Linked DNA regions of Danio rerio. The protein of the gene in region 2 interacts with the protein of the main gene of each other region in a pairwise test. Links are inferred from orthologs where the notes say so. Each region holds a gene or a part of one and is shown on either strand. Other genes may lie near its edges. The genes, in order: pogzb, creb1a and crtc1a.

The links.
Region 1: the proteins of creb1a (region 2) and pogzb interact in a two-hybrid assay, tested with the Homo sapiens proteins (2 studies listed by BioGRID and IntAct). The link is inferred for Danio rerio from reciprocal best matches to the Homo sapiens genes CREB1 and POGZ.
Region 3: the proteins of creb1a (region 2) and crtc1a interact in binary tests that used the Homo sapiens proteins (3 or more experiments, as listed by UniProt). The link is inferred for Danio rerio from reciprocal best matches to the Homo sapiens genes CREB1 and CRTC1.

The regions. Positions count from the first base shown.
Region 1 is NC_133191.1:42,522,891-42,527,216, forward strand, and holds the start of pogzb (uncharacterized protein LOC561483), read left to right. Parts: upstream 1-1,417; 5' UTR 1,418-1,478; exon of another isoform or gene 1,479-1,791; intron 1,792-1,967; 5' UTR 1,968-2,033; intron 2,034-2,174; 5' UTR 2,175-2,178; coding exon 2,179-2,284; intron 2,285-2,450; coding exon 2,451-2,567; intron 2,568-3,679; coding exon 3,680-3,852; intron 3,853-3,950; coding exon 3,951-4,050; intron 4,051-4,132; coding exon 4,133-4,326. Other genes in the region: si:dkey-23o4.6 (retinol dehydrogenase 12), read right to left, coding at 172-262. UniProt on the Homo sapiens protein: Plays a role in mitotic cell cycle progression and is involved in kinetochore assembly and mitotic sister chromatid cohesion.
Region 2 is NC_133176.1:37,068,623-37,072,986, forward strand, and holds the start of creb1a (cyclic AMP-responsive element-binding protein 1a), read right to left. Parts: upstream 2,954-4,364; 5' UTR 2,846-2,953; intron 1,527-2,845; 5' UTR 1,518-1,526; coding exon 1,428-1,517; intron 1,274-1,427; coding exon 1,127-1,273; intron 918-1,126; coding exon 817-917; intron 1-816. Other genes in the region: chmp2bb (charged multivesicular body protein 2b), read left to right, coding at 3,807-3,840, 4,259-4,350.
Region 3 is NC_133177.1:27,921,047-27,924,699, forward strand, and holds part of crtc1a (uncharacterized protein), read right to left. Parts: intron 442-3,653; coding exon 283-441; intron 1-282. UniProt on the Homo sapiens protein: Transcriptional coactivator for CREB1 which activates transcription through both consensus and variant cAMP response element (CRE) sites.

The DNA.
Region 1 (4,326 bases), on a different chromosome or scaffold from region 2:
TTCATTAATTGTTGTAGTGCATGCATTTAATGCCATTAAAGATTTAATTAATTAATTAACATTTCAGGGCCTTAAATTGTGATGCAGTAGAAGTTTTGGGACCAGACCCATTTTTTATATTAAAATAAGATTATAATAAAACTTCTGAAAGTACTAAAAAACGTTACTCACTGATCACCAGCAGCGCGAGGACAGCGCCATAGTTCACTCCGTCAGATGATGTGCCCGGATCCTTCATCTCGCATGCAGAAGTAAACAACATGAAGAAAACACGCTCACGTTGTGTCCTCTCTGTGCACAATGCTATATATAGGGCTTGACTTAAGCAACTTAAACAGAAGCTTACCTGCTCTGCGCTTCGACTGGTTATGAAACGTTTATTATGAAACGTTTATCTCGGCACAATTAAGAAATGATTAGTTGTCAGATTGTAGCTTAAATTTAGTAGGATATTCAGGGCATATTCTACTTATATAAATGGTAAAACTTCTATTGTGCTGTGGATATTTTGAATTAAAGAATGCAGCTTTAATTTACATTCGATGTCTTTATGATAACTTTCAGACTTTCTGATTCATAATGTACAATTAACTAAAGCAATCGGTTTAAACCAGTCGTTACTTCGACTATATATATATATATATATATATATATATATATATATATATATATATATATATATATATATATATATATATATATATATATATATATATAGTCGAACAAACGATTGTGTGTGTATGGACTGAACTTTTGAATGTTTTTGATTCACTAAAAGAACCGAGTCATAAGAGTCGTTTGATTTTGAATCGGACCAGTGGTCCTGCCTGATTCGTGCTGTGTTCTCGGTTGTTCTGAAAAGTGCGGTGAACTCTGCAGTGTGCTGTTCTGTCCACATTGGCGGATGAACCCGCGTTCAGAGCCATAATGAAACCGGATGTCGTGATCGGTTCCAGAATTTTTTTAAACTGAACGTTTTCTAAAAAATTACACTTATTTCATTTATCAGTGCATTGTGCATACCAGGGCTAAAATATGAATATTTAAGCAAATAATTTTATATAATAGATATTTTGTGTGAGCAATTTTTCAAAATCATAAATTGATTTAAGAAAAGACAGTTTGTGATGGTTTTGACAGGTCCTCCTCAAAATACTAACAGTGTGTTGAATAATTAAATCATTTCTTTATTAAACCAGCAGTTGGCTAGACCGTATAAAATGTTGTCGTTTGTCGAGAAGGACGCCATTTTCTTGTTCCAGTAACCACTCCTCCTTATTTCAGAGATTACAGCCAATCAGCGTTGCGAATTCAAAACAGGAAGTGGCGTTTTGAGCGTATCAACCAATCGCAGCAGGAGAAAAAACAGAACCTCTGCCCATTTAGCGCATTTATTCGTCTCGTCTGTGACGTACCGGCAGGCTTTGTGTTCTTTCAATATATCACGTTGAATATATTTCTATATAGACTATAATCTGGTAAGTATTTTTTTTACAAATACGCGCTTTAATTCACGCGTTAGATGGCCGTCTTTCGTTATGTGCGCGGAGGACAGTATGCGGAGTGCGCACTCAGTAGGCGACGCGCGAGGGGTTGCTGCATTATTTGTGACTGAGTTTTTGTGATAGACACAGCGCTGAGTCCTGTTCCGACCCAGTTTGTATTTCAGCCCTATTTTCTGTTATTGTACACACATCCAAGGCTCATGCTTTTGCTTCTATCAGTCAGATCATCTGGTCTCAGCCAGTGCATATCGGTGACCAGGAACTACTTTTCTCTTCGCCCCTGTCGGTTAGATGAAATCACACTTTTTTGGGAGATTTTTAGGAAGTGATGCGGCAGCGCTCTGAATATCCGATGTTAACCCCATTAATGCAGGATTTTTTTTTGTTTGTTTTAAATGTATATAAATACAAAATGTACTACTATTCATGTTTTATTCATATACTTATTTGTATAATTTACAGGATGAAGGGATTTTGTAAACGCCAGTCTTGACGTTAAAACTGGTCGGACCCGATTCCTGTCAGAAGGTGAGGGTCTTCAGTTCAAAAATATTTTTCACTTGTCTAATTTAAAATGAAACATGTTTTTGATTTATGAATACATAATGCACCAATTGTCATTTGTACCCTCACAGTTTGTAGATTTTAAACACGTTTACTTTCTTTCAGAAACATGGATTCGGATTTGTTTATGGAGTGTGAGGAGGAGGAGCTGGAGCCATGGCAACAGCAGTCTATGGATGAACCAGCCGGAAATGCTGAAAGCAGTACTCCCTCCGGTGTGTATTTTTGTAATATTTTTAATTATAGAGAAATTTAACATAGTTTTTAATTATCTTCTTAACTTTTGTTAATTATAGATATTCCAGAAATATATATATTTTACTTTAATAATAATTTTAACATCATTATAACATCTGAAACTTGTCGTCCTCCAATGTTAAGTCACTTCCACTCCAGCCCCGGTGGTTGATGTTCCAGCTCCGCCTAAGACCATGGTGATCCCAAGCCTAACGTCTGTAGTAAATGCGGCGAACACGGTTCCGCTGATCACAAATACAAGTGAGTCTCCTTTTCTTTAATAATTATTTACTCATTCACATGATGCTCCAGAACACAAATTAAGTTAGGAAGAATCACCTGTTTGTTTAATTTAAGAGAAGCAAACTGGGGATAGAGTTCAGACACTTCAAAATAACAACAAAAAAGACTTGTTTTAAAGAAATGCAAATGACAAAAAAACACAATTCTTTTAATTATGAGTTAAATGAAGAATAAAATTGTTTTTTATGATTTGTGTGCTATATACTCACCTGCCACTTTATTAGGTACACCTTACTAGTACCGAGTTGGACTCCCTTTTGCCCTCAGAACTGCCTTAATCCTTCATGGCATAGATTCATCAAGGTACTGGAAATATTCCTCAGAGATTTTGGTCCATATTGACATGATAACATCACACAGTTGCTGCAGATTTGTCGGCTGCACATTCATGATGCGAATCTCCTGTTCCACCACATCCCAAAGGTGCTCTATTGGATTGAAATCTGGTGACTGTGGAGGCCATTTAAGTACAATGAACTCATTGTTCAAGGATTCAGTTTGAGATGATTCGCGCTTTATGACGTGGCACATTATCCTGCTGGAAGTAGCCACCAGAAGATGGTTGTGTGTGAAAATCCTGGTAGATCAGCAGTTTCTAAAATACTCAGACCAGCCCGTCTGGCACAAACAACCATGACACGTTCAAAGTCACTAAATTCACCTTTTTATTCCCCATTCTGATGCTCGGTTTGAAGTGTAGCAGATCGTCTTGACCATGTCTACATGCCTAAATGCAATGAGTTTCTGCCATGTGATTGGCTGATTAGAAATTTGTGTTATCGAGCAGTTGGACAGATGTACGTAATAAAGTGGCCAGCGAGTGTTTATTGCAATTGTTTTAAAATCATTAAAATCATCAAAATTCGAACTTTTGCAAACCGTTTTCTAATGTTTTCTCATATTTTCTCAAAATTTGTAGCGAATAGAAACTTTTCAGTACATTGTTGTTGTGTAAATATCCTTAGAAGGGGAGCGCAAAAGTCATATCAACTACTAAAGTAGTAGATGGATGCAGTCTTGTTGACATTCAGCCTGCATTACTCTTGGTGATCAGTCATTTATTTTTTCAGTAACTCAACGTGCGGTTGTGCCGACTGAGATCCCTAAAGCAGTGCAAGGGCAGCCGGTCATCTTGGCACCAGGAGGAGGTGGACTGGGCACTGTGGCTCTGTCACAGGTTCTCCTGCCTGGAACATCTATTGCCAATGTTACCAACAGTCAGCCGATCTACTTTACCACACAGGTGCTGCCATTTCACCATATAGATTCCAGCACATCACTCAACAAAAGCACATTGTCTCAACAAGTGTTCATCTATGTGCGTCCTTTCATCTGATACAGGGTCTTCCTGTCCAGAATATCCAGCCTGGCCAGGGTCCAATGAGTTTAGTGCTGAATGTCCAACAAGGCCAAACTGTTCGACCGATTACTCTACTCCAGGGTATGTCAGTGTGCTCTTGTTATGGTCTTACGCTATAGTTCTGTGCATTAATTAACAGTGTTTTCTTTATGTCTTTTTTAAGCACCTGGCACACAAATTTTCAAACCAGCCATCGGAGCAACCCAAATAATTACCCAGCCTGCTCAAATAAGGGCTGGAGCTCCGGTTGTAAACAGAGCCCAAACGCCTAGTACTTTCAGCACAGTGCAGATCCCTGCTACTCTCACTTTTCGAACCACAAACGCGGTCACCCCAACAGCTGCCAGTTCTCTACCC
Region 2 (4,364 bases):
GAGAAAACCCACATGAACACGGGGAGAACATGCAAACTTCACACAGAAATGCCATCTGATCCAGCCAAAGCTCGAACCAGCAACTTTCTTGCTGTGAGGTGACAGTGCCAACCAATGAGCCACCGCACCACCCTATTGTGATTTCATGTTCAAGTCATTTTGAACTTGGGTATGCATGGATCACCTTTAGCTGTCAAAAATACTCTCTGTCTGAAACATTTGATGCTACACAAGTGTAAAAACCTTTAATAAATAATTTTATATAATTGCTATACATATTAAAATATATTTATACCACATGAATGACTGACAAACTTAAAAACATCTCTCTTTTTTTCAGAAAGTAAACGTTTATTTAAGTAAAAAAGAAACAATCAGTTATACGTTTTAAATATTTAAATAAAATTATTATTTTTTTAATTGTGTGCTGTTAAAAAATTAGTTTTTAGATTATGTGCTTTTATACATTTTATGAAAGGTAAAACAAATCGACTGTTTCACTTTAAGTGTTGTTCATGTGTAAATTGTAAATTCAAAGAATGTCTTAATTAAATGGTAAAAACACAAACCATTTGAAAACATTTTTGAAATAACTACTATGATTCATTAAATGAGGAATGAATGTTACTGTAATATTTCCGCACTGTTTAATAAATGTTAAGTTAAAAAATATGAAACAGTTTTCTTGCTATAGTAAGTTTATAGACACTTGTGTCCTCATTTTTCATTTTAAACAGATTTTTGCAGAAAAAAAGATGCAGCTTTCGTTAAAACAGGATTATAAATGTGTCATCAAATTTAGAAACATGCAGATACCTGTATGAGGGCCGTCTAGACAGAATCTCTCTCCTTTTCTGAGAATCTGTCACACTGTCCACTGACTCCTGAGAATCATCACTCTCAGCAATAGTAGAAATCTGATACAAAAAGGCATAAATATTCATGCTTTATACACCTGAATCAGTAAACACTTTGTCATCCTAAACTTTGAAGAGATATTTCATCTAAAAATGAAAATTCCATCTTTGCACTAAAATATTTCAATTTGTGTTCCAAAGATAAAAGACGGTCTAAGGAGTTAGGAACAAGATGAGGGTGATTAAAATAATAACAAAATTTGGCTTACTTGTACAGTTTGCACCTGTGGGGATTGTATGACAGAGGGCTGGGCTGCCTGGATGACCCCGTGAACTTGCACTGTTTGCCCATTGGGCAGCTGAACTAAGGTCACTGTGGGTGCAGTTGCTGATGCCTGTGCTGCCGCCATGGAAACCTGCACCAGGGAGGTACAATAAGGTTTAATTAAATAAAAACATCATCCCGGATCTACATGTATAATAACCATAACCCTTGTAATCATAATCAGTCTTGTCATCCTAGCAAACGTTTCCAAAAGCTTTGGAAGCATCTTAATGCCAGAAACTCACTTGTGCCAAGGTGGCAATCTGCTGAGTGTCTGTCTCTGAGACCGCAGTGTCGCCGCCCTGCTGGACATCTGCTCCTGCCTCCATGGTCATCTAGATAGCCTGAAGATGTAATTCAAGAGTCCTTCATTTGTATACTTTGAAAATTATGCAATGAATATATACACAGGGTAGGTTATCAAACTGCCCAAAAAAGGGTATTGTTATGCACCCACGATTATTTTAAAGGTTGACTGCAAAAAAAAAAAAAAACTTCTACCCACAGACTGGGTTTGATATAAAGTCATTACGAACATTTTAAATATAAAATATACATTTATGCATTTTTTTTAAACATACTTAACGTTAAACATGTCAATTTAATGTAAATCCAAAAATAAAATTTAAATGTATTAAATTCTTAAAGGGGTGAAATGTTTCCAGAAATGTATATTTCTTCACGTAAAAAATGGCATTACTAAAGTGAAATATTTGCATTATAATGTATTTTAACAAAAGCAGCCACCAAGCCTCAGCACAAAAATAAGAATATGCATATTTAACAGTAAATATCATTAATATTAGTCTTTTATGGAGCTGTGACTATTTTGTAACAAGTAATCGTGTTAAAAATGAGACCTTAATCATAGTGTGCCACAAACACAAGATGACTCCATTTGCCGCCTTTTTTTTACTTCCGTATGCAGCTGTCAGTCAGATCTGTGTCTTGGTTTTTAAGCATTTATGAACGTGGTAACTTAAAGGAAAATAAAATCGGCATACAGTGCAAGCTAAATCATTTTATTTTTCATGATTTTCCATCTAAGGCCATTTGAGAAATAAAAAACAGCACAATAAATACAAGCGCTTGCATTTTTAGGCGTGTTTCGACTTGTAAAATAGCACTCCACGTTGAATGAATCAAGCATGCGGCACAAAATCACTCTGTTTTATGGTGCACTCAGAATGGAAAAATACTCATGAATCATTTTTTTCTCTATAATTTTATTTACCAGTTAAAACCCACAATTTATGATAAAGAATAGCTGTTTAATGTGGTACAAAACACCATTGCTCGGGCGGGAATACAGTAAAGATCTTTAATGTATCACGGAGAGCTTAGACTGCTCAACAAACCAATGCTGGAGCCAAAAAAGAAAAAAAATCATTTCACGCGCTGGACTTTCATAAAAAGGTGCCATGGACGGGCGGTCACATTCATAACTACGCATCTCTCTCCCATAAACACATGTATTTTGTAGACCCGTCCCGCTTTCCTCCTTCTACAACCTGACTCATTGTCTGCAAGCAAGTCTGAGCTGTGGAGAAACATGCCCACCGCCGCCATGATCTCTTTGTTACAGACGGATCGAGCATTGCGACATGTCCACTAAAACGCCAAGTGTATTATCTCTTTCCCCCACGAATGCGTCTCTTCTTACCCGACACAGACTCGCCTCGTCACTCCCAGGCCTCCGGAGCTCCACTTTTATTTAGTCCGACACGTAAGAGACCGCGTCAGGCTACACCTCCGTCGCGTCACCGAGGACAACAACACAGAGAACGAGGGGGACGAAATACAGCCCTAATTCAGGATCGACAAGATCCGAGAGGTAGGCGGAACTTGCCGAACGTAGCACGAACCTACACGAACAGCCATCGAGCAGAGTCGAATTTACACGAGGTGTCTCTCCGTGACTGTTCACATGAGCATGCGTCAAATCCGTGCGCTACGATTGGCTGACTTTTGTCGTAATGAATATGAATAAATCTGTTCAAATGTACTACAGCAGGGGTTTTCAGCCTTTTAGAAGCCATCGAATCTGAAATTTGACAATTGGAAGAAAAATGATAATTTATAGTATTATTATATAATGTTTTATATAATTGTGTAATTGTTTAATACTTTATTAAAGGACAGTTTTCTTTTTGTTTTCACATAAATTTGTAGAAAAACTCCTGTATATATTTATTTATAATTGTCATTGGTATTATTATTATTAATTTATGATGTATTTCTTGTCATTAAATAATATTTAAATATTATTATTATTTTAAGTATTGATTTGTATATTATATATATACATTTTATCTTATTTTTAGATATTTTTATTTTAGTTTTTAGTTACGAGAACGACAGAGAGACCTTTGTTTTTGCGGCAGACATCTATGGGCGGTGCCAGTCAGTGTGATGTTACGACTGGATAGCTTCAATGCAACGTCACGTCAATGTTCACCAATTAAAATGAATAACTGATGCAGAAGAGCAGAAGTTCACCGCCTTCTTGTCAGGAACCAGGAAATAGTCATGATATTTTGATAGCCAACTCTCACTTGATAATAGTCATTGTGATATACTTAGTTTTCTTATTAGTTTCTTGGTCGGCGGAGTTTGTTGCAGTAATGACATCGTTATTCAAGAAAAAGACCGTAGATGGTAAGTTTCTTGCCGCCGCTTTGAGTGCTTGTTTGTTTGTCAAAGCCGCCCAAGCAACGCTCTCACGTCTATCAAAGACTGCGTTAGCAATTTCTGTCGTTTTATTTAATACATTAAATACGATTTGGGCTGTAGTTTGTACAAAGACGTGTCTTTGAATTGCTGCCATGACGTAAACATTTTACATTTGGCTTCTTTCGCTTGTGTCTTACAAATAATACTTAAGCATGTCGGTTTAAAATAAACTAATCCAGTAACGTTAGCTCTTAAAAGAAATCACTGTCCCTTTACGTTAATCGTTCCTCTGAACCTTGCTATGAAAGTAGTTCCAACACATTAATTTGTTATAACTGACTCAGACATTTTAGCATTATTAATTTATATGGCGATCGATAACTATGTCTCCTTCATTCTACAGATGTCATTAAAGAACAAAACAAAGAGCTGCGAGGAACGCAGAGACAAATTGCCAGAGACCGGACAGCACTGGAAAAACAGGAAAAGCAACTGGTGAGATTCCCCAC
Region 3 (3,653 bases), on a different chromosome or scaffold from region 2:
GTCACGTGATTAAATTCCTTAAGCAATTAAATAAGTACAACTAGAACACAAATTAATAAATTACATTTTGGAAGTAACTCACCCAACACTGCCCACAATCACCCATTTCATTTCTAATAAATTCCAAAAACATAAGCATATATCCCAAAGCATTTGACTGGTATTGTATTCGTTATCATTTAGAAAAGGAGTTAACCTCTTAGTGCCCTGTATGCTCTGACTGACAGTTGGCCATACCGAGATCTAAAAAATTCCACTGCAAGTGTTGAGATGTAATCTTACCGTATTGATATCGATGCCCACAGAGGTTTGCGTCTGGCTGGAGGAGACGACTGGCAACGGAGGAAGCCCACCTCCCCCCTGTGTCTGAGTGGACGGCTGGCTAAAGAAAGCATACTGAGCCAACTGCTGCTCCAGGGTCATGGCGTCTATCGTCACTGCCTGTCAAACACAGATTCAGATTGACAGACTATTAACAGCTGAGACAGAAATGCTGCTTTTGTGGAACTAGAGCTGGGTACTGATTCAGAGGACCCGATTCGATTAGATTCTGATTCACAAGCTCTCAATATAATTCTTAATTCGGTACAATAAAATAAAATTGACTCAAATGAAATTGATATTCCTAAAAATTATCCATGAACGCTTTATTTCGATTGCATGACTACTTTAAAACAGGAAACCTCACTTTCACATGAATCGAATAAGCAGTCATGATATAAAATGGTCAAAGAACATTTGAACAAAATGAGGTGATCGAGCGTTTGCTGTTGCTGGTCCTAAACTCTGGAACAGTCTCCCGATTCACATTAGACTTTCCCCCTCCATCTCTGTGTTTAAGTCTGTTTTAAAGACCTATCTATTTTCTCTCGCTTTTAATACTCCTTGATCACTGTTTTATTGCTCTTATCTGTTAAATGCTTATTTTATATTCTGCTTTTTAGCACTCCTATGTACAGCACTTTGGTCACCTTGGTTATTTTTAAATGTGCTCTATAAATAAATATTGTATTGTATTGTAAAGAAAATGGGCTCCTATTGACAGTTTTCACATGACGTCACACAATTAAGGGAACGCCACCCTGGTGGGCAAAAAATACTGTCTTTCACTGACTGTAAAATCATGTGCTTACCCAAAAAGCAGAATAATTGTAGTGCAATAACATAAAACATTACTAACCGATGAGGAGACATGTCTGGGCTGTGCTTCTTCAGAAATTCCTTCATAGAAAGAACATTTTTTAAGCAAAGTTATTGATTTGTGCCTAATGGTAGCATCATTGACCCATAGCATGGTACCAATAACTGTCAGTAGATTTATAACACACAGTTTAAACAGTTTCTATTCTAACTTGCAGGTTAAGTGCAATTTAAGTTTAACACCGTCACCAATGACTAAATTGCTGAGGAAAATCCAAAACATACATACAGATATTGCTGAATAGTAGCTCTGATGATTTTAAATTGACTGAAAATGGCTGCGGGTACATTTTGGATCGCCCAAAATGTAGAGTTTGTGATCATATCTCTATTTTGTTCTCTTAATATGCGAGCCGAATATTCGTAGCTTAAAACAGATAAAAATATCTAAAAGTTTCTATGGAATCCCAATGAAGCTGCCATTACAGCCAACTGTCTTTTGCCCGCCAGGTCTCCATACAGGTCACATGACTGAAAACTATCAATTGTGATGCACACATTTCCTAACATAAAAGCCAGGCCCATCAGGGGAAAAAACAATCCAACCCTCTCCATTGACTTTCTATTAAAGGAAGCTGCCTCCTTGTCATTTCTGACTTTTAATATAAAACTGAACAGGATCTAAAATCTGCTATGTAACAAGACATACAGTAAACAAGTTAAAAGAAACTAAAACTATGCTTTATCAGAATGTGGAACAAAGGTGATTTAAGTGACTTTAAACTTGGCATGGTTGTTGGTGCCAGACGGTCTGGTCTGAGTATTTTAGAAACTGCTGATCTACTGGGATTTTTATGCACAACCATCTCTAGGATTTACAGAGAATAGTCCGAAAAAGAGAAAATATCGAGTGAGCGGCAGTCGACTCTAAATAATGTGTGTTTAAGGACACAAAAGTGGATGCAGGTAATAAAGTAAAATAAGATGTAGCTTACTATTATGGCAGTATTCAAAAGCCTCATTCACACTATGAGCGGCGAGCAACCGTTTATTTCAATGGAGAGTGAGCGACTTCCAGCGACCTCTGTTCATGTTAGTGTCAGCGACCGTTGGCGACGAAGTGGGTGTGTCGAACGATGCAACAAAGTTGAGAATTCTTTACATTTTTGCAAATGAAGAACAACTTTCATTGAGCAACAGTCAATGAGAGCACCATTAGAGCTCATGTGATCCTCTCTCAGCTCGCTGAGAGGCCGATATTATTCTCTGTGCTGAAGACCTACAAAGACCTGCGTTTGCAGCAGGTCACCACCCAGAGCGACAGGCAGTTACAAAGTTGCTGCTAATGTGATTGAGGCTTTAAGCAGATATGCAATAGTATTATATTAGCAGGTTCTGTAGCTATTACAGCCGTGTGTTACAATGAAAATCTATATAATCTAGTTTCAAATAAACAATAATGTACAGTGGAAGTCAGAATTATTAGCCCCCCCCCGAATTATTTACCCCCTGTTTATTTTTTTCCCCATTTTCTGTTTAACGGAGGGAAGATTTTTTCAACACATTTCTAAACATAATAGTTTCAATAACTAATTTCTAATGATGGACTTATTTTATTATTTCCATGATGACAGTAAATAATATTTTATTAGATATTTTTCATGACACTTCTATACAGCTTAAAGAGACATTTAAAGGATTAACTAGGTTAATTAGGTTAACTAGGCAGTTTAGGGTGATTAGGCAAGTTATTGTATATCGATGGTTTGGACTACAGAAAAAAAATAGCTTAAAGTGGCTAATAATTTCGACCTTAAAATGTTTTTTAAAAAATTGAAAACTGCTTTTATTCTAACCAAAATAAATCAAATAAAACTTTCTCCAGAAGAAAAAATATTATCAAACATACTGTGAAAATGTCCTTGCTCTGTTAAACATAATTTGGGAAAATTAAAAAAAAATAAAAATAAATTCAAAGGGGGCTAATAATTCTGACTTCAACTGTATATAACTAAAGTTATATACAAATTATATTCTTTGGTTCTTTAGAAATACAAATTAATTCAAAACTCTAGCCGGTATATTTTAACCTATTGTCAATAAGCATTTCCTGACTATCGGGCAGGGTCTCAAACGGCTAACTGGATTAACACCTATGCATCTGAATGTGTACTATTTTGTTGATGAGATTAGAGCTGGAAAAACGCAGTTTACCTGGCTGACTCCTGTACTTCCTTTGCATACTTTGTTTAGATTTGACTCCACCTCTATGTTTCACTGCCCCCCCAAAATGTATTTAAACTGAGTGCAAAGCTGCACTAGTTTAAGTTTTTGATCAACAACACAGCAACTGTGAGTTCTCATTAAAGGATTCTGCTTTGAAGATACCTGAAATATCTACTTCTTCAATTCACAACATAAAAAAAAAAACATTCAAATAATTTTTATTAAAGTATTTTTATGACGCCGTTGGATCATTTGTCAAACAAAAGGAAGCTAAGAACTGCCATAGA